Schizosaccharomyces pombe: one gene and its partners. Changing the gene in region 1 together with any one later gene gives a genetic interaction. Each region holds a gene or a part of one and is shown in the gene's direction. Other genes may lie near its edges. The genes, in order: nxt1, nup61 and ppk31.

Region 1 (4,807 bases):
GCTGTGCTATTCAGGTAACGGGTACGTTTATTGTTGGAGGGGAATGAGTAATTCCTATTGTCATATTCCATATGGTGTAGTAATTCTTTTCATGTGAATGCTTCGGTAAAGAAATTGTTCAAAACAAGCATACCGTAAGAAACTGAAACATGAAACGACTCGGTTTTGCTTCAAGTTATAGAAGACTGTGTTCATGAGACTAAGTCACAAAGAGCCAAAAATAGTTTATTTTACAATACGTTCCCTATCGTGTCCAAATTGTTCTGTCGTTTTGTTTAACATTTCTATTGTTCTCGCTATTGTCTGTTTCACTTGGCACTTAGTAAGAATGCAAACAATGCCGAGATCAATTCATCCTTTGTTCTAATTATTTAGCGATGATTTCTCCAATTCTATGTTGTAATGGAATTGATAATAGTTACTAGTTGGTACAATAGACACTTTCTAAAAGAATTCTATTGAGGAGCTGCGCTACGTATCCTCATATTTACATGAATGAACAATCAAAATATGGCTAAACTTGTCGAACAGAACGCTTTCAACTAATACGAATTATTTGTGAAAGAAAGCCAAAGAATCGTCACGCTTCTTTGGGGCGATGTGACAAATGGAATGCTCAACTTATGGGATTTTTTTATTAAATTGTGCAAATGATGCAAAGTAATATTCACCAAAACGAGTATCCTTATTTTCTTTATTTTAGGTATCGTTGATTTCTCATTTTATCATTAAAAAAGTAATGTGGAATTGCTATGTTCGTTGGAATCCACAAGGTATCGCAGCGTTCGTTATTATTACAAAATTGTATGTCTATTAATTTTATGTATTTTAGAAATTCTTAAACAGTATAGAATTAGTGCAAGAACAGATAAATCAGTCTTTTGGAGCAATGAGTTAATTTACAAGCGTTAAGCGACCATCATTGAAATTACACTTTTGCATAAACTATTCAAAAGAACTTTTCATTATCTTTTTTTTTTGATCTCTAAGTTCTAACAGAAATTAAATCTAAAAGTCATTCGTGAATTAGTTACGAAACTCTAATACAAGTCTACAGTTATGGCACCGTTCACTAATAAACCACTACTGAAATCGCTTTCCTACTAATAACTGAAAATCTCCAATTTTTGCCTTAAGAAATTTATTGGAAAGGATTTTTTGAACAAAATTTCTCAATACCAAATGATTTTAACTTTCAATCATGTGCAATCGTCAACCGAAAGCCGTTGACCTGCCTCCAAACTATTCTTGTCCACATCTGTTGTCTTTTCAGTCTGTCGAATTTAATACTAATCCTACGGCTTGTGATGATGTGTTTTGTAAAAGAATTGAGTCCGAAAAGAAGTACAACGACTTTTTGGAATCTCTTTTCAAAAAATATGGACGCGACACTTCTGATATAGCTGATGAAGTAGATCTTGCAACTGGTGAAATTATTGTTAATAATGGACATCTAGAAGCTTTAAAAACAAAAGATGATATATGGGATCCTACATTTAACAACCTTGAAATCTCAGCGTCAAATGGATACGAAAAAAAATTAGACTCAAGCATTGGCAACCCAGGGGAAAAAGCTGTTTCACCAGTCCATATAGAGGATTTTCAGTCTCCCCAGATCTATAAATTTAAAAATCTATCACTTCGTGATGAAATGGTGTCAGATTGTGTGTTTGCAGATGAAGTTCCTTTAGCTTCACTTTTTGTGGAAAATGTTTGTAATGAAACTATACCCTCTCAGTCATGCGTGAGACTAAAAATCAATGATAAAACAAGAAAAGTTGATGCTTCAGCTTTGGAAAAAAAATCTTGTCTGTTGCCAAACTCATCAGGAACATTAACAGATCAGCGTGGTTTGGATACAATCAAGCATAAAAGCATAGAACAAAATGAGATTTTGCACGTCATCTCTGATACTTTATCTTCACCGAGAAGAAGGAACCCTTTATTATCATCTCCTAAAACTCCTTTACGTAGATCTTTTTCTAAGTCAAAAGTCCGAAACTCCAATTCTACAAAACGAAGAAACTTTATTTCATTAATTTCAATGATATCCCCTCGACCTAATCTTTCTACCCATCATTTTAATCTTGGTTTTCAACCTTTAAGTCAACAAACTTCGTTCTCAGGAAGTAGCACTCAGAACCCTCATTCTTCCAGCACTTGTAAAAAAGCATTTTGTTTCCAATGCATTTCTGAGTCAAAAAAATGTTGATTCAGCTTTAAACCACTTATTCTCCCATCTTCTTCGCTTGCCATACCATGGCTTTTAATGACCTATTTCTTCGAACATATATTTATTTTTTGTTTTCATTTACAACAAATTGTCTTTCGAGTTATCATGTTACATTCGAATATATATTTTTTTACTAATATATTAATCATTCGTTGAGTTTTTACGTGATCTATGCTTTTGTAGTATGGCAAATGAGTACACATAATTGTTCTCCACTCTTCATGTTATAAGTAAAAATCGTAGTCATAAAGATATCTAGCCGAAATATCCATTCAGTGTGTTGAACAAAGATTATCTTTAAATATCGCTTAATGAGTACAATATTTCAATTTATAACACATGTACCTGTTTAAATGACTACTTACACCACTACAAATTTCTGTCATTGTGAATCATTATGGAGTCGAGTGTAAAATGTATGTTAAATGCCGCATTACTAAAGCTTTATCTATAAACTAACAATTAAAGATGCGCAGGAGTTCGTCCAACGGTATTACTCATCTCTTGATACGAACAGAAATGGGATCGCAGAATTTTACAGAGAAAATAGTTTGATCTTATGGAATGGAAAACCCATGCAAGTAACCGAATTTACCTCTATGATAGTTAATCTTCCATACTCCAAAACTAAAGTTGAGGATTTCGATAGTCAACAGGTCATGGGTAATGATATGAATATCATAATTGTTGTTTCAGGAACAATACGTTTCGATGGAAAAAAACCTCATGTATTTTCGTATGTCAGTTTTTATTGTATTTACCTTCTTGTACTAAGATCCTCTACTAACTTCCTTTAAGAGACAATATAGTTCTACAACAGGAAGAATCAAAGTATTATATTGCCAGTCAAAATTTTAGAATTATGAGTGAATAATACGTATCCAAAACAAAGATTTCATTTCGTTTAGAGTTTGTATTAATTTGCCGCAGCAAGCTTATCTGAGCGACACATTCCCTAATCCCTCATACTTCTTTAGAACACAAAATTAACCACCACCTTACAAATATGAAATATTGGAAGTATTTGTCTCAGCTGACTATCAGAAGGCCTCTTACATACAACAATGCTCTTCTGTATAGGAATAGGTTTCCTAGTATATTAACATGGAAGAGAAGTGCGACTACGCAACCTGACGACACTATTTTCAAGGATCCAGTAATGGATGAGCAAGTCCAGAAACTTGAAGAGAAAATGAGTTCATTAGTTGTTAATGATCCGGAACTTGCTCAAAAGGTTGGCCGTCTTCGTCAGTTTTTTGAGAAATACGGCCTTGAAGCTGGTTCAAAACCGTCACCTCTTACTATCCTAAAGATTACTCGTGATCCGGAATTCAAGCAGTTAGCTGAAACTATCACGGAGATATTTAAAAAATCTGGAATTCAAAATGATCCTGCGTATGTTTTTTTGAATGTATTCCATTGATTGTGCGAACACTAACATATCTATAGATTTTTGGAACTTGTTCGAAGAAACCTTAAGAAAGAAAAGTAAAAATATGCCTCTGACATTTTTTTTATTCTTTGTTTGGCCTAATAACCATTACTTGTTCACTATTATGTGAAACTTACAATTGGAGGAATGACTAATGTTATTGATTTCATAAACGATTCACTATACATCACAACTACTTTCTTAATTAGTAGGAATTTTAAACAAGATGCTTTATCAAAATATCAGTAAACCCAATTAGCATTCAAAGCATAGATTTAAGGATTGCTCCTTTGGGACATCCATGTCCATAAAGCGGCATGCGGTACGTCAACCTCATTTGCTAGTTTTTGATAAATCTCTTCAGACGACGAAGGCTCGTACATAGCTAAAAACTCTAAGAGTGGCTTGTGTAAAGCAGGCAAATTTTTTCGGAGATTAGCTATGAGATTATCAAGTTTTGAAGGTCCTGATTTGTCAAGTACACTGTAAAAAAGTTAATGAAGAATGTAATTAATGGAAATGAGAGATACTTACCCACACAAATAATTCCAAGCACTCTGATTGTCAGGAGCAAAAAGGATTTTGTCTTTCAGATAATTCAGTTCCTCTTCCAAAGACCAAGAAACCACCTTGGAGGTTTCAAACAAAACATAAAATCTATGATTCCAAGCCGAATTGTTATAAATGTCTTTTTCCAATAATTCGTTGGTTAACTTCAGCTCTTGAGAATAATCATTAAAATTTTGCAAGATCCAAACTCGGTAGGACCAGACATGATAATTTTTACTGTCAATTTCAAACATCTTTTTCGTAAACTCAAGTTCACGCTCATAATTCTTAGTCAAAGAAAGTATTTTTTGCCTATGATGCCAAACCTGGTAGTTTTTTTGAAAATCTTCGGCAATTTCATCGAGCCATTCTAATTCATTGTCTATGTAACTGGGCGTGTGGTTTAGGATTTGAAATCTATAAGCCCATACTGTATAATGAGCTGGATTATTCATAATCAAGAAACCTGTTAAATTAAGTGCTCTCAAGGAGTACTCCTTTTTAGCCATAATGGCACGAAAATAAGCCATTCCTTGTTCATATCCTGTCGTGTAGCAAATTTTCGCTAATGGGTTTTCGCCATCATCCTGAGG
Region 2 (6,836 bases), on another chromosome or scaffold:
ATTATAAGGAATCGTCGGACATATGAAATTTTCATATATAAGCAGTTTGCCGAAAGGCCATAACCACATTTGTTGTAAACAAGCAGGTAGGTTTCTCAGCAGTCAGGCGGATTTGAAGAAATATTCAGAATCACTATGCTTGCCAAAGACTTCGTTTCCTATTAAGCCAAACGTTAAAGGAAATAATGAAAAGTATTTCAAATCCATCACATCAGACCTGTATGAATGGCAGAAGGAGAATTTGAATAAAGAAGATTCTTTCGTGCTATTAGATGGGCCTCCGTTTGCAAACGGTCGACTGCATATAGGTCATGCTCTAAATAAGATTTTGAAGGATATCATCAATCGTTGGCAATTGCTGAAAGGCCGTTCTGTGCATTATGTTCCTGGTTGGGATTGTCATGGTTTACCAATCGAGTCAAAAGCTATTAAAGCAAACGCCGAGCGTAAAAGTTCTCTTGAAATTCGAAAGATTGCTAAAGATTTCGCAAATTCGGCCGTTCAAGAACAACTCATGATGTTCCAACGTATGGCTGTAATGGGAGATTGGCCTTCTAGGTACATCACCATGAGTGACAAATTTGAAATAGCAGAGCTTAAGGTTTTCTTAAGTTTGTTACAAAAGGATCTTATATTTCGTCAAAATAAACCTGTTTATTGGAGCTCTTCAAGCAGGTCCGCTTTAGCTGAATCAGAAATAGAATATGATGATAATCACGTCAGCACGTCTATCTACTTTACGTTTCCGGTGAACAGTTTTTCTATCGATGGATGTGAATACAATAATGTAAAGGCATTAGTTTGGACAACAACTCCCTGGACCATTCCTTCAAACCTTGCATTATCTTACCACCCTGAAATCAACTATGGTCTATACCAGCACAATAATTCGATTTATTTAATGTCTGATAATTTAGTTCCAAACTTGGATTTTATGCAGGGAGCTAAGCGTCTTGCGAGTTGCCCTTCAGATATTATTTCATCATTTACATATGAGAACCCTCTATTACCGAAGCAAAGCTTTCCATTTTTACAATCTAACTACGTTACTAATGATATCGGTACTGGTATAGTACATGTCGCTCCTGGCCATGGAATGGAAGATTATCTTCTAGGACTGGAAAACAATTTGCGTCCTTTTTCACCACTCGATGATTATGGTCGATACACTAAAGAAGCTTTGGATGGAAGCCTTGAAGGATTGGAAGTTCTTGGTGATGGAGGAAAGAAAGTAATAAGTATTATGAAAAATCAAAATATGATTGTTAAGGTCTCTCCTTATAAGCACCGCTACCCTTACGATTGGCGAACACATAAGCCATTAATTTTACGGGCGACCCCTCAATGGTTTATATCATTGGAGAATGAAAGGAAAACTGCCATAAAAGCACTTGATAGTGTAAAAATGATTCCTCCAAATTCGCGCGCCAGACTTCTTGGTTTTTTGAATGGCCGTCCTGAATGGTGCATTTCTCGCCAACGGGCATGGGGTTTACCCATTCCTGTATTGTATGAGAAAGGAACTAAAATCCCCCTACTAACTGTGAAAAGTGTATCCTATATCATTGAGAAAATGGAAGTAGAGGGAGTTGATTCTTGGTTTAATGATACTGAAAACAATGGGCATGCTCAGTGGGTTCATCCGGATTACAGAAATAAGGAGTATATTCGTGGCACTGAAACACTTGATGTATGGTTTGATTCTGGGACTAGTTGGACTACAATAGCACCTCGTAAGAATAAACCGCTCATTGACCTTTGCTTGGAAGGAAGCGATCAACACAGGGGATGGTTTCAGTCACTTCTTCTCACATACACTGCCTACCAATCAAAACCAGAAGCACCGTTTTCTACTTTGTTTACGCACGGATTTATCTTTGATGAAAGAGGTCAGAAACAATCCAAGTCTTTGGGCAATGTAACCGACCCTGAAGATGTAATAAACGGAAAGCTTTTAAAAGGAAAAAAGCTTCCATATGGTGTTGATTTACTGAGACTTTGGGTTGCATCATGTGACAGTACGAATGATACTAACCTGGGACCGAACATTTTGACGCAAGTTGGTGAATCCTTAAAAAAGTGGAGATTAACATCCCGATTTTGTCTTGGGAACTTACATGACTGGAATACCTCGAGCTCAGTTGATGTTGGTGAATTACGTGGTATTGATAAGTTGGCTTTAGTCCAACTAGATAAATTTCAGACTGAAATTCGAGAACTTTATGAATCATATTCAATTAACAAAGTTGTTCATCATCTCAATTATTTTATGAACTCTTTCTTATCCTCTACATACTTTGACGCCGTAAAGGATCGTCTGTACGCTGATTTACCCAACAGTGTATCTAGGAGAAGTGTTCAAACTGTCCTTTATCATTCATTACTTACGCTCATTTGGGCCATTTCTCCCATTACTCCACTTTTGGCACAGGAGATTTGGCAAAGCTTACCCGATAGTTATTTGAATTCTTCTTACCAAACTCCTTTTCACGCTGGAGAAACACATCTTATAAGCAGCTTAAGGTCAAAAGTTGATTTACTTGATAGAAAATTTTTAATTAAGGAATACTTGGTTCTTCAACAACTTAAGTATAGTATTAATTTGTTGATTACCGCAGCTCGTGAAAATCTAACTATTAAAAACTCATTAGAAGCTTATGTCGTTATTAAGTCAAAATCTCAATCTTTATTGAGTTTTTTAAAAAATTACTCTTCCGACCTTCCTTTTCTGTTCAATACATCGAAGGTATTTATTAACGAAATTCCCGAAAATCTGAAATTAGCTTCCGTTACACAACCTGAAGTTCAGTTGGATTATGGGGTTGCAAATATCTCTTTATTTTTTTCAAATCAACAAAAATGTCTACGTTGCTGGATGCATACAGCTCATGAGGACGGATTATGTGACAGATGCGAATCTGTTTTGGCCCAACTGAAACGCTAAGAAAAAAGCTGAACGCTCTTTATTATGATAATTTTTGTACCATAGTCATTTATTTTTGTAATACTTAATTAAAATCAAGCGACAATTCATTTTTTGTATTATTTTATTTTACTGTAACATTAGTAAATAAGGAGACATAGTGAAGGCCATAAGTTTGGGTGGTTTTGGGGCTAACAGTTGACCTTCGCAAACTAGCAAAATGTCAAAACGCGGTGCTGATCATCAGTTAACTAAGGATCAAGATGATTCTGATGATGACCGTCATGGTCCAGTTGAAGTTCCTAAGGAGGCCTCCGCAGACGTGATGGCCACAAGAAAGTATGTAACGATGAAACATAGTTCTTCAATTTTTTAGGTACTAATGTATTAGAATTGCAAAGCCAAAATCTAGAAAAAGACCAACGAGCGGTGTTTCTTCTCCGGGAATTTTTGCAAATTTGGCAGCAAAACCGGTGTCTTTACCTGCATCGACTACGCAATTTACATTTGGAAAACCCGCGGTTACAGCTAATAATGATTCAGATATTCACTTGAAAAAACGCGGTCTTAATAAATCATTTATTGACGCTGTTATCAAAAGTGTTGACAATAATCCCTTTGGTAATTTGAGCCCTCTGTTTGATGAATACAGGCAGCATTTTTCAAGTATAGAAAAAAAGCCAGCAGAAGGTAATGCGTTTATAGTTAGTACTTCATTTCTTTCTAACGTTTTCTTAGAACAACCAACTTCAAATGCTGTTGTGTCTGAGGTAAATCCTCAGCAACAAAAAAGCCAAGATTCTTCTTCTTTTGTTACAGAAAAACCAGCTTCTTCAGAAAAAGAGGATAAGGAGAAGCCCCTTGTTCCCCCCGGTGCTCCTAGGTTCGGATTTTCTGCTCCAGCGCTTGGTAGCTCTTTCCAGTTTAATTCATCGGCTTTTACTCCTAAAGGGTCATTTGGTGAGAAGTCCGCAACAGAAGCGGAAGCGAAGGAGAAAGAAACATCTTCTAATCAAACTGCCACTGGTACTGCCGCTACCACAACCAACCAGTTTTCATTCAATACTGCCGCTAATCCTTTCGCTTTCGCTAAGAAGGAAAATGAGGAATCAAAACCATTAACTCCCGTGTTTTCTTTCTCAACGACTATGGCTTCTGCGGATGCTTCAAAAGAGACCAAACAAACCCATGAAACTAAAGATTCAAAGAGCGAAGAATCTAAACCCTCGAACAATGAAAAATCCGAGAACGCCGTTGAACCTGCCAAGGGAAATACTATGAGTTTTTCTTGGACTCCTGATAAGCCTATCAAATTTGACACACCTGAGAAAAAATTTACATTTACCAATCCATTATCGAGCAAAAAGTTACCGGCCTCTTCGGATGTGAAGCCTCCTAGCGCTGCGGCTGTCGGCTTTTCATTTGGAACTACTACTAATCCGTTCTCTTTTGCTGCTCCGAAATCTTCTTTTCCTACTTCTTCTACTCCAGCTTCTGTTGGCGCTGAAAAAAGTGAAGAAACTTCTAATGGAAACAAATCAGAGCAAGAAGAAAAGGAAAACGGAAATGATGAAACTCGATCGAATGATTCTCTAGTTTCTGGTAAAGGAAAAGGCGAAGAAAATGAAGACAGCGTATTTGAGACAAGGGCCAAGATATACCGTTTCGATGCTACTAGTAAATCTTATTCTGATATCGGGATTGGTCCATTAAAAATTAACGTAGATCGTGACACTGGCTCTGCTCGCATCCTTGCGCGTGTCGAGGGAAGTGGAAAACTTTTGTTAAACGTTCGTTTGTGCCAGGATTTTGAATACAGCCTGGCTGGTAAAAAGGACGTAAAAGTACCTGCTGCTTCTACTGATGGAAAATCAATTGAAATGTATTTGATTCGTGTGAAAGAGCCTAGTACTGCGGAAAAGTTATTAGCCGAATTGAATGAGAAAAAGGTCTCAAAGTCAGAGAACTAGAAAGCAGTGATTGATTCAGTCACTATTTATTCCTTTATTTTTGGTCTATTAAATGTACATAAATCTAATAAATTTTTCGGAAATATATTGTCAAGATTATCAATTTAATACTGTCATTCGATTTTCATTTGTGGATAGGGATATACACAATCAGTCTTTTACGAAATGTGCATACAAATATGAAATTCCCGGAAGCATACATGCTCTCCAAGTACATTGCCTTTATGGAATATTAAATTGGTTAAGCTAGTCATATCTTTTCTTTTTAAATTTACGCAGAACATCAAAGTTTTACGGAACTGATTTAATTATCCTAATTTTCATCTTATGAATGATTGATAAATTTTTGAGTGAATTTTAAAACTGTTGTATATCGCCAGTGATATATCTTGAATTGATTGATTCAATAATCGGTTTCGTTATTAAATTACTTTTGTCTATATATTGGTTCCGGATTTTCAAACACCTGCCTAGCTTTTAGAAGGGTCAAACCCCCTTATTGAATAAGTATCTTGGCGCGAACTTTTAATAAAATAAGCAAGTAAATGAGCCACTATCAATTTCGAATTGTTAGTTTTTTGAAAAAAGTAACTTCAACAAATACGTTTGTAGCGAATTTATCGCTTAAAGTTGATTTTTTTACTGTAATTGAATACTGTATTGGACCGGCTATAATTAACAGCTTAATTTTACAAGTTAAGAGTTATAATCGATAAGTATAAATCATTTTAGGGTATCAATTTTTGACCATTCTAACACCTAATTTTTTGCATGTTTATCATAGTAAATACCCTAAAACATCCAAGTAAAAGCATAAATAATGACTACCAAAACGAGCCCATAAATAAATTTTTTAAGAGAATGAAACAAATTGTTCTAACCGAGCTTAAAGTATGAAATATTGGCTTAGCAATAATTAGATTCATGACAATTCGGATACTGATGAACTTTAACTATGTTCAAAATTTTGGGATTCCTCATCCTCTTCATCTTCTGATATATCCTCTTCATCGACTGGGTAAGTGAGAATGGCGGCAATACCTGACAACAGATCCAGCTGCTTCCCTGACTCATGCAAACTACTGAAAATATAAACAGGACAGTTAATCTCCTTAACACCTTCTACTAATGAAACCCATTTTTTTCTAGTAGCAATGTCAGAACTCCTGAACAGAGAATCGCTAATCAGAAGTTCTCCGATCGCGCCAAGTTCAAAAGCCTTCAAAACATGATTTGGACCATACCATGCCTTTCTATCATCTTCATTCATGACATCGTAAAATTTATTCAGAACGCGAATTTCTTGTACGTATTTTGTGTCGGCTAGTTTTGATTCAACAGCAGGGTCCTTCAAAATTTCATTAAGGGAATGAATATGACCAGTGCTAGAATGAAGGATGACAAATTTATTCTTTGATTTAACAATTTGTTTCAAGTCTAACTTCACGGCCATGCTGAATATGTAGTCATACAAGCCTCGAGCCACAAATCCTGGTGAAGCAAGAATAACGACTTTCAATTTATCAAAATCAAATTCTGAGTTAATGGATTGAAAAACAGAGTCATAAAATTTATCAAGGCCCTAAAAAATTGATCAGTACGGACGAAAAATCAAAGTCTAAAAATTTACCTTTTGGTAAGCGCTGCTGTCCCCTCTCCGTTTCCTTGGAATCACTTGATCAATCCTTTGACGCAGGATGGTCATATAATCTGTAATGAGACAAATATTGGCAAGACCTGCAAGTCAGTAAACATGCACGAACTAATAAAGCGATGTAAGCCAAGAAATTTACCTTCATCTAAAACCACAGCACCTATTTCAGCATTTCTTGAAGGATTACAAGCAGCATCTACACGGTCCAATGCAAATGCATCCCATTCATTTTTATATAGAGTAAAATTGCGATGTAGTTCTAAGTCCAAGGTATGGTAGGATCCCATCT
Region 3 (7,528 bases), on another chromosome or scaffold:
AGCTCTCCATTGAGGTAGAACTGTTTTGTATAATATCAATTGCAGCAAGTAGATGTTTTGCAGCATCTTCAAAGTATCCTAAATTGATGTTGGAAACAGCCATGTTTGAGCGAACTCGAACATACTGGGGCTGTAGAGATACTGCCCGATTATAGGAAGAAACAGCTTCAGTATTTTTTTCTGCATTTGTTAAAGCAGCACCAAGCTTATTCCACAATATTTCGTTACTTGGTTCGTCTTGAAGAGCTTGCCGAAAACAATCTGCAGAACGCTCATACTCCTTCAACATATACATAATTATTCCTAATCCAGCTTGTACCTTGGAGGAACGCTTCTTAGCAAGTGATAACTCATAAGCTACATCCAAGAAATACATCTGCATTTTCAAGAGATCGTTAGCAGAATCTTTCTCTTCAAACCTTTCGTTTATCTTTGCAAACCTGTTTCGGTATTGGGGAAAACTGTTGACTATCCAGTCTTCTAAGCAAACCAATGCCTGAACATTTAGAGACTGATTAACATAAGACACAGCAAGATCCATCATTAAGTCAAGATTGGTTGAATCCAATTTGACAGCTTCAAGTAGGGCTTCAACAACCCGCGATTCGTTTCCCAATAGAGTATGAATGCGACCTAACCATTTCCAGGCCTCGAAGTGCTGTGGATTCTCTTTCACAGATTGTTCCAATAACACAGCTGCTTTCGAGATAGATCCTCCATTTTTTATTAAATTCATGGCTTCAACAAATGGATCTATTCCGTTTAGCTCTTTCACAACCTCTGAAGATTCATCTTGGTTCTGTGAATATACATCTTCCGTTTGTAAAGAGTTTTCAACAACGTTATCAGTATCGCTATGCTGGAAAATTTGAGGATCTATGTTTTTATTATGAGCTAAATTATCATTAGCAAAGCTATTCACAGACGAAGTGTAAGGATCGTCAGAAATATTGTTTGACTTTAAAAAATCTTCCCATTGTTTCTGGTATTCCTCTAAACTTGCGGGCTCTAGCCCGGCGTTTTTCAATTGCTTTTGATGCTCTTCCCATAGCTCCTCAATTGATTTACTTCCAGTAGCATCCTTTTCCTTCTCTAATTTATTGGAGATTTGAGAAGCTTCCTCAAATTTCTTAGCCAACTCAGTTTCGTCAATAGCTAAAGAACTTTGTAAGGGTATTTCAGTATTTGAAGATAAATTTAGTCCAGCGGAACCAAAAAAAGATTGTTTTAAAGGTTGGTTTAAGTTTCGAAAACGGTCGTTTTCAGATGAATTGAGAAATACTTCAGAGAATTCTGATGTCCAAGCCGACTTACTATTCTGCTGCTGAAGAGAAGAAAAAGAATGTACCCAATTTTCTTTCGAGCCTCCACGAGTAGTTGTGCCGGTATGATTTCCAGTTTTTAAGCTAACTGGGTTCTTAACTACATTACCTAAAGGACTATTGTTTCCTTGGAGATTTTTGAAAGATGTGAATTGATCCTCAGACAGCGTTTGCAAAGGAGCGTAAGTACGACTTTGAGACTTGGTTAAATGTTTTCGATATTGAGCTGAAGGTGTTGAATTATTGACAACAGCTGTGGAAGTCAATTTCTTAAGAGGATTAGATAGCGTTGAACATCCTGCTTCAACAGACATTTTTGAAGAAAGTAGACTATAGCCAATATAAAGGCTCTCGACCAAAAGGAAATAGTTTTTTAAGTAGGTTGTAAGAAAATTAATATCAAAGAATGAAAAATTTCGCAACTTGATTGAATTTGCGATGTGTTTTAAAAACCAAAAATATGAAAACAAAAAAGCGGAAGAAGTAACGATGCAACTAACCAAAAAACAAAAATTGATCGCACCAATGATTGTTACAAAACTTGCGTATAAACTCAGGCATGTATTGCTGCTTATTACCAATTACAAAAATATTTAGATGAGTGCGCTCAGTTCATGTAGATGCTGAGCGTAGCACGTTAGATTAATCGCTTCTGTAATACACCACATTAACCCATATCAATTTATAATAAAGACTTTCTCTTTATTTTTTCAGACTAATCTATTGCCACTAAGGAATTTAGATTTCAACATTTTATTATACTTTTGTAAACCATGCTGCATATGTTAAAACCATAGCTTTATGATACAGAGAAAAAAATCCATATTATTTCTAAGTTCTTTTCAAATTAGTGTGATTAGAAAGTTAAACCAAGGGTTGGATTGAAGTATTAACTCTACATCTATTTATTCACCTGTTGTCTAAATTACAACGCCAAATGAATTAAATCACCAAATACTTCTGTCGCTCACAATAAAATGTATTAAAAAACTAATTAATTTTCGCTAGTCAATATTCGCTGTAACAATGGTTTTGGTTGTTTTCTGCTTAATACCAATTGATGCCACCTACAGTTCACATCCGACAAATATTTGTTAAAGAACCTGTCGCTAATTAAAGTGCTAAAAATCGCTCGTTCAAATTGTGATCTCATTATGAATTAGCATATTAGTTGGCGAATTTAATAAAGCCAAGTAATAAATTGATGATGTTATAATAACGAAAACATTGTATACAACAACAATTCCGCTTCATAAGTAAAAAAAGGTATTTAAATTATACGAGTCTTACAAACTATTAAAAGTCTTTGCCGAAAAACTATCGCGTAAGAACCATTTGCATTGATTTTACACAACTTTGAATACAATTTCTTTTATACCAAGAAGCTTAAAGTGTTCAATTATGATAAACAATGACTAATCCAGAGCAATTGAAGAGGATACTTTCCCACGAAGTTCTGCTGAAAATTGAAATGTCAAAAAATGGAATAGTGGAATATGCCAATCCTGCATTTTTTGAATTAATCGGCTACGAAGGAGATTTATTTCAATGTAGTTTCTATGAGTATCTTCAAAGCGATGATGAACACTTAATGAAGAAAGCAACCGATAATCTTTTCAGAAAAAGCATATCAGTTGCACATGTCTTTGCTTTTCTCAGATGTAATCCAATACGCAGTCCTAATTATTATATTCAACAAGCCAAAGCTCCATTTGAGGGAAAGACGTATATTAGAATGCTTTTTCGAGGCATTCTAGTAGACTCATTGTATGGTAAAGATACAAGGGTTTTGTGGGCAGGAAAATATTTATATCCACAACGGTCCGTGATCAACGAAATGGATTTCATCCTGTTTAACACGTTAGGGATTGGTGCCTTCATTCTTCATGATCATTTGCTCGGAATAATCAAATACAATTATATACACGTTCCTCCTCCTTCAGGAAAATTATGTTCGTTGTGTGAAGATAATTTACCAGAGTGGTACTTTGAGGTACATAGCGATTTTTGCCTTGTTTGGAATGATCTCGTACGCCGCGTTTTCGCCGTACAACAATTGATAAATTGTAAGAAGCTGGAAATAGAAGACATAGTTAACAAACTCCCTACGGGTAGTAATCATATGGTTGAAGAAACCTTTCTTTCCTTGCCGGTCATAACAGTATTCAACGGGAAGAAAAACAGAAAACAGAGGTTTCGCATTCGATCATGGAGAAGCTCTCTGAACTTTTTGGTTAAGGAACTGGACAAATCCATTAAAAATTTTGCTTATTTAGAACATCGAACGTTTTTGACAATTTCAAATTCTGCCGCGAAAGACATGAAGCGAGAGATTTATGAAAAATCATTGGTGAATTGGGAGTATGATTTTCTTGTTCCCTCAAAGATCCAGGATTATTTTTACGATGTTCATTCACTTCTTTTGAAAAATTTATCGTCTAAAATAAAACTCTGTAATCACATTTTAATGTATCAAGCAACGTTTAATGAAGTTAAAAATTTTCTTCAAACGTACTCCTTGAATATGCTATCAATTGAGATGGAAAACATCGAAGGAAGTCTGTACTTTGGAAATGCTCAATTGTCCAATCTAATTTGCGTAAACCAATACCTTTCCGAACAGAGACCAGTGTTTTTCAACAGGCTGTTAGCCCTTGGGAACGTTGAAAATAATAATTCAATTTACGATGACATCCAGAAACGAACAGAACGTATATCTACCATAAAAAGACATAAAAAATACTTTGAGATTGGAGAACGCTTAACAGAAAAAGACTTAATTGTGTCTAAAACCTTTAAAACAACAAGGATAGATTATTTTAAAGCGGTAAAGGGATCAATTGAAGATCTGGATGTGAGACCTCTAAAAAATCGGCAGAAATTTGTTAACAAATTCTATGCCTCGATCGTTCATTTTCTTACCGAAAGTATGCAGTTCCCAAGCCATAATGATAGGAGATTTGGGGATAATACTCCTCACTCATTAGACGAGTTCATACTTTTAAAAGAAATAAACAGAGGGGCATACGGTAGGGTTTATCTTGCTAAAAAAAGATCTTCAGGAAAGTATTTTGCTCTTAAAATGATTCCAAAATCCAGTCTTGATAGCTTAAAAAAAATAAAAGGACTATTGCTTGAAAAGCGTAACATGCATATCCAAAGATATGGACCAAACACAGTGAAATTATATTATGCATTTGATTCTGGGGACTACCTATGCCTTGTAATGGATTATTTTAATGGAGGAGATTGTGAAACACTTATTCAAAAATTAGGACCGTTACCAGAGCAATGGGTTTGCCAGTACGCAGCTGAATTACTAAATGCTATCGAGCTTTTGCATCAGGATGGAATCATCCATCACGACATAAAGCCTGCCAACATGTTGGTTGACGAAACAGGACATATTCGGCTTACAGACTTCGGACTGAGTGAAAACGTAGAGGAAAAAAAAGAGGTTTATAAGCTTACTAAGAGGATGTCATTTGAACAGAAACATGGAAATTTGTATGAGCAGCTTCAACCTAAAAAATTCGAATTTGTAAGATATGTTCGAAATTACCGCGGGAATATTGATGAGCTTGAGAAAGCGGAGAGTCCACAGCAAAATAGTGATTATGCCAATGACTCGGTCCAGCATTTACTTGACTTTGATATCAATAACATGGATGAAACAGCAATACACATGTTAATGAATCAGTTAGAGAAAAAGGAAAACCGGACATTCATCAAAAAAGATATTTCAGGGACGCCAAATTATATGGCTCCAGAAATTTTAATGGGCGTTGATACTCAGATGGGCGATATATGGGCGATGGGTTGTGTGATATTCGAAATGTTGACTGGCACGCGACCATTTGAAGCAAATACTGTAAAAGCAATATGGGCTCGCATAGAGAGAAATGATATTGGTTGGACTAAAAGAGTGAAAGAAAGCTGCTCAAAGGAGGCGGTAGACTTAATCACCAAACTCATGGATCCAGACTGTAACAAACGGCTGGGTAGCAATGGATACCAGGAAATCAAAAAACATCCTTTTTTTCGAACCATTAAATGGGATAATTTAAATAGTGGGCCAGGTCCGTTCGTTCCACAAACAGAAAATGTTGAAGATTTGACGTACTTTGAAAAAAACATAAGCGGTTCGGATAATATTAATAAAAATAATTGTCAGACGTCAGCAACTTTAATTCTAAATGGTATTTTTGCTTTTCATCCTCCTCCAAAAGCAACACCAGCTGACAGTGGTACTGAAACCTCAAACTCAGCTGCTTTCTCTGCGTCCGAGGAGGAGACCACAAATTTAACAGACCAAAAACGAAAAGATCTTTTTTCACTAATAACCAAAGCGTTTAAGGGAATAGACTTAAAGGCCCTTAATTACAACAACAAAGCCACGCTTTTGCGAATGTATGATGAGGTCGATTTCCCCAAAAATCAACAAAGAAATAAAGAGAAATTTCGAATTCAGAAACGACCTAACAAAAAGTATCGCTACCATTTATTTTAACATCATGTAAAACCATAGACATAACATGTTCGCTATCCAGAACGAATCATGATAAGTTGAAAAATGGTTAATTAATATTTCCATACAGAAACAGTAAAAAGACAAATAAACTTGTTCTACAAAATCTTTTATTCTGAGGCTTTAGCCAAATAATGCTTCTAACATAAGTTGATGTTTCCTCCTTGAATCCAAATATTATTAATAGTTGAATTTCATATATGAAAAAAAGCTATCTCATTTCACTAAACGTTTCAAAGGATGACATTTCCTATACGACAGAACATTTAAGAGGACTGAATAGTTTACGAATTGAAGTAAGTTAGAACAAAGTGTTTACCGCATATCTTTGAAAGCGTTAAATGATTTTAACAATATTTTTCGCATCGTTATTCAAGTAAGTATTATTTGACAGATTATATGATATACCTAACAATACTCCTTTATATCATTGATTTTGAACATTCGCCGAAATGTTTAGTTGGGCTAATATTGGGTCCAACGAGTATTTGCCTTTGAAAAATGATCGAAAGGCTTATTTGAATCAATGGGCAAAACGATCGGGACTAGCAATTGCCGCTATTTGCATTTTAGGAATTCTGATATTGGCAATTGTGAAATTATTTTGCTTCAAAGCAATTATTTTTCCTATCGTTGGAGGTTCCTTCAACAATGGGACCAATGTTTTTCAGTCCACTGTCATCGTAATCTCCTTGGATGGATTCCGTGCTGATTACTTATATCGTGGGTTCACACCTAATCTTCTGAGCCTGGCTGAACGTAATGTCCATGTTCCCTTTTTGATTCCTTCTTTTCCTAGTATAACTTTCCCTAATCACTATACTATTGTTACCGGTTTATATCCCGAGAGCCATGGAATCGTTAGTAACAACTTTTTTGATCCTGTAACTGGGAAGCAATTTGTCAACAGTATGCCTGAATGTAACAAAGACCCAACTTGGTGGGATAAAGGGGAGCCTATATGGGTCAACGCTGAGCGAAATAACGTTCGATCAGCGGTACATATGTGGCCTGGAAATGAAGTGGAGAATCATGGTTACAGACCTACTTATTCGGATGGTTTCAATTTTGATACGACTCTAAGAGAAAAGAAAGATAGAATACTCGAATGGCTGGATCTTCCTGATAAAGACCGCCCTCAGTTATTACTTGCTTATGCTCCCCATGTAGATATGGTTGGGCACGCATTTGGACCGGATTCGCCTGAACTGAATATCATAATTCAAGAAGTTGATATCGTAATTGGTGAACTAATTGAAGGACTGAAGAAAAGAAATATCGATAAGCATGTCAACATTATTTTTTTAAGTGATCATGGAATGGCGCCTACATCCGATAATCGTCTTATCTGGCTGGATAATATGTTTAATTTGTCTGCCGTTGCACACAGAGATGCTTGGCCGTTAGGAGGTTTTAGAGGAGAATCTGATTTAGATGATGAGTACATTTACGAAAGTCTTGTTAATTATTCTCGCTCGTCATTACCTTCTGCTGAGAATTGGAATGTTTATTCAAAGAAAGATATACCTTCTCGATGGCATTACTCAAATAATGAAAGAATAGCTCCCGTTTGGATGATCCCGGATGTTGGATGGTCTCTTGTCTCGATGCTGGATCATTCACCGGAGTTGGAGTATGAGCCTTTGGGTGTACATGGTTATGACAATTTGTCTCCAGT

The links.
Region 2: mutations in nxt1 (region 1) and nup61 together harm fitness more than expected from each alone (negative genetic interaction), as found in Schizosaccharomyces pombe (one large-scale study listed by BioGRID).
Region 3: mutations in nxt1 (region 1) and ppk31 together harm fitness more than expected from each alone (negative genetic interaction), as found in Schizosaccharomyces pombe (one large-scale study listed by BioGRID).

The regions. Positions count from the first base shown.
Region 1 is NC_003424.3:1,860,733-1,865,539, forward strand, and holds nxt1 (mRNA export receptor Nxt1), read left to right. Parts: upstream 1-2,596; 5' UTR 2,597-2,630; coding exon 2,631-2,649; exon of another isoform or gene 2,650-2,701; coding exon 2,702-3,030; downstream 3,031-4,807. Other genes in the region: CENP-A histone chaperone Scm3, read left to right, coding at 1,202-2,212; protein dpc13, read left to right, coding at 3,240-3,628, 3,683-3,725; geranylgeranyltransferase type 1 alpha subunit Cwp1, read right to left, coding at 3,941-4,148, 4,200-4,807. UniProt on the Schizosaccharomyces pombe protein: Stimulator of protein export for NES-containing proteins. Also plays a role in mRNA nuclear export.
Region 2 is NC_003421.2:729,529-736,364, reverse strand, and holds nup61 (nucleoporin Nup61), read left to right. Parts: upstream 1-3,123; 5' UTR 3,124-3,143; coding exon 3,144-3,262; exon of another isoform or gene 3,263-3,314; coding exon 3,315-3,613; exon of another isoform or gene 3,614-3,661; coding exon 3,662-4,893; 3' UTR 4,894-5,494; downstream 5,495-6,836. Other genes in the region: ism1 (isoleucine--tRNA (Ile) ligase), read left to right, coding at 23-2,944; dom34 (translation release factor eRF1 family protein), read right to left, coding at 5,843-6,475, 6,524-6,630, 6,687-6,836. UniProt on the Schizosaccharomyces pombe protein: Functions as a component of the nuclear pore complex (NPC).
Region 3 is NC_003423.3:1,211,127-1,218,654, reverse strand, and holds ppk31 (serine/threonine protein kinase Ppk31), read left to right. Parts: upstream 1-2,733; coding exon 2,734-5,832; 3' UTR 5,833-5,965; downstream 5,966-7,528. Other genes in the region: peroxisomal targeting signal receptor Pex5, read right to left, coding at 1-1,636; npp1 (nucleotide pyrophosphatase), read left to right, coding at 6,303-7,528. UniProt on the Schizosaccharomyces pombe protein: Has a role in meiosis.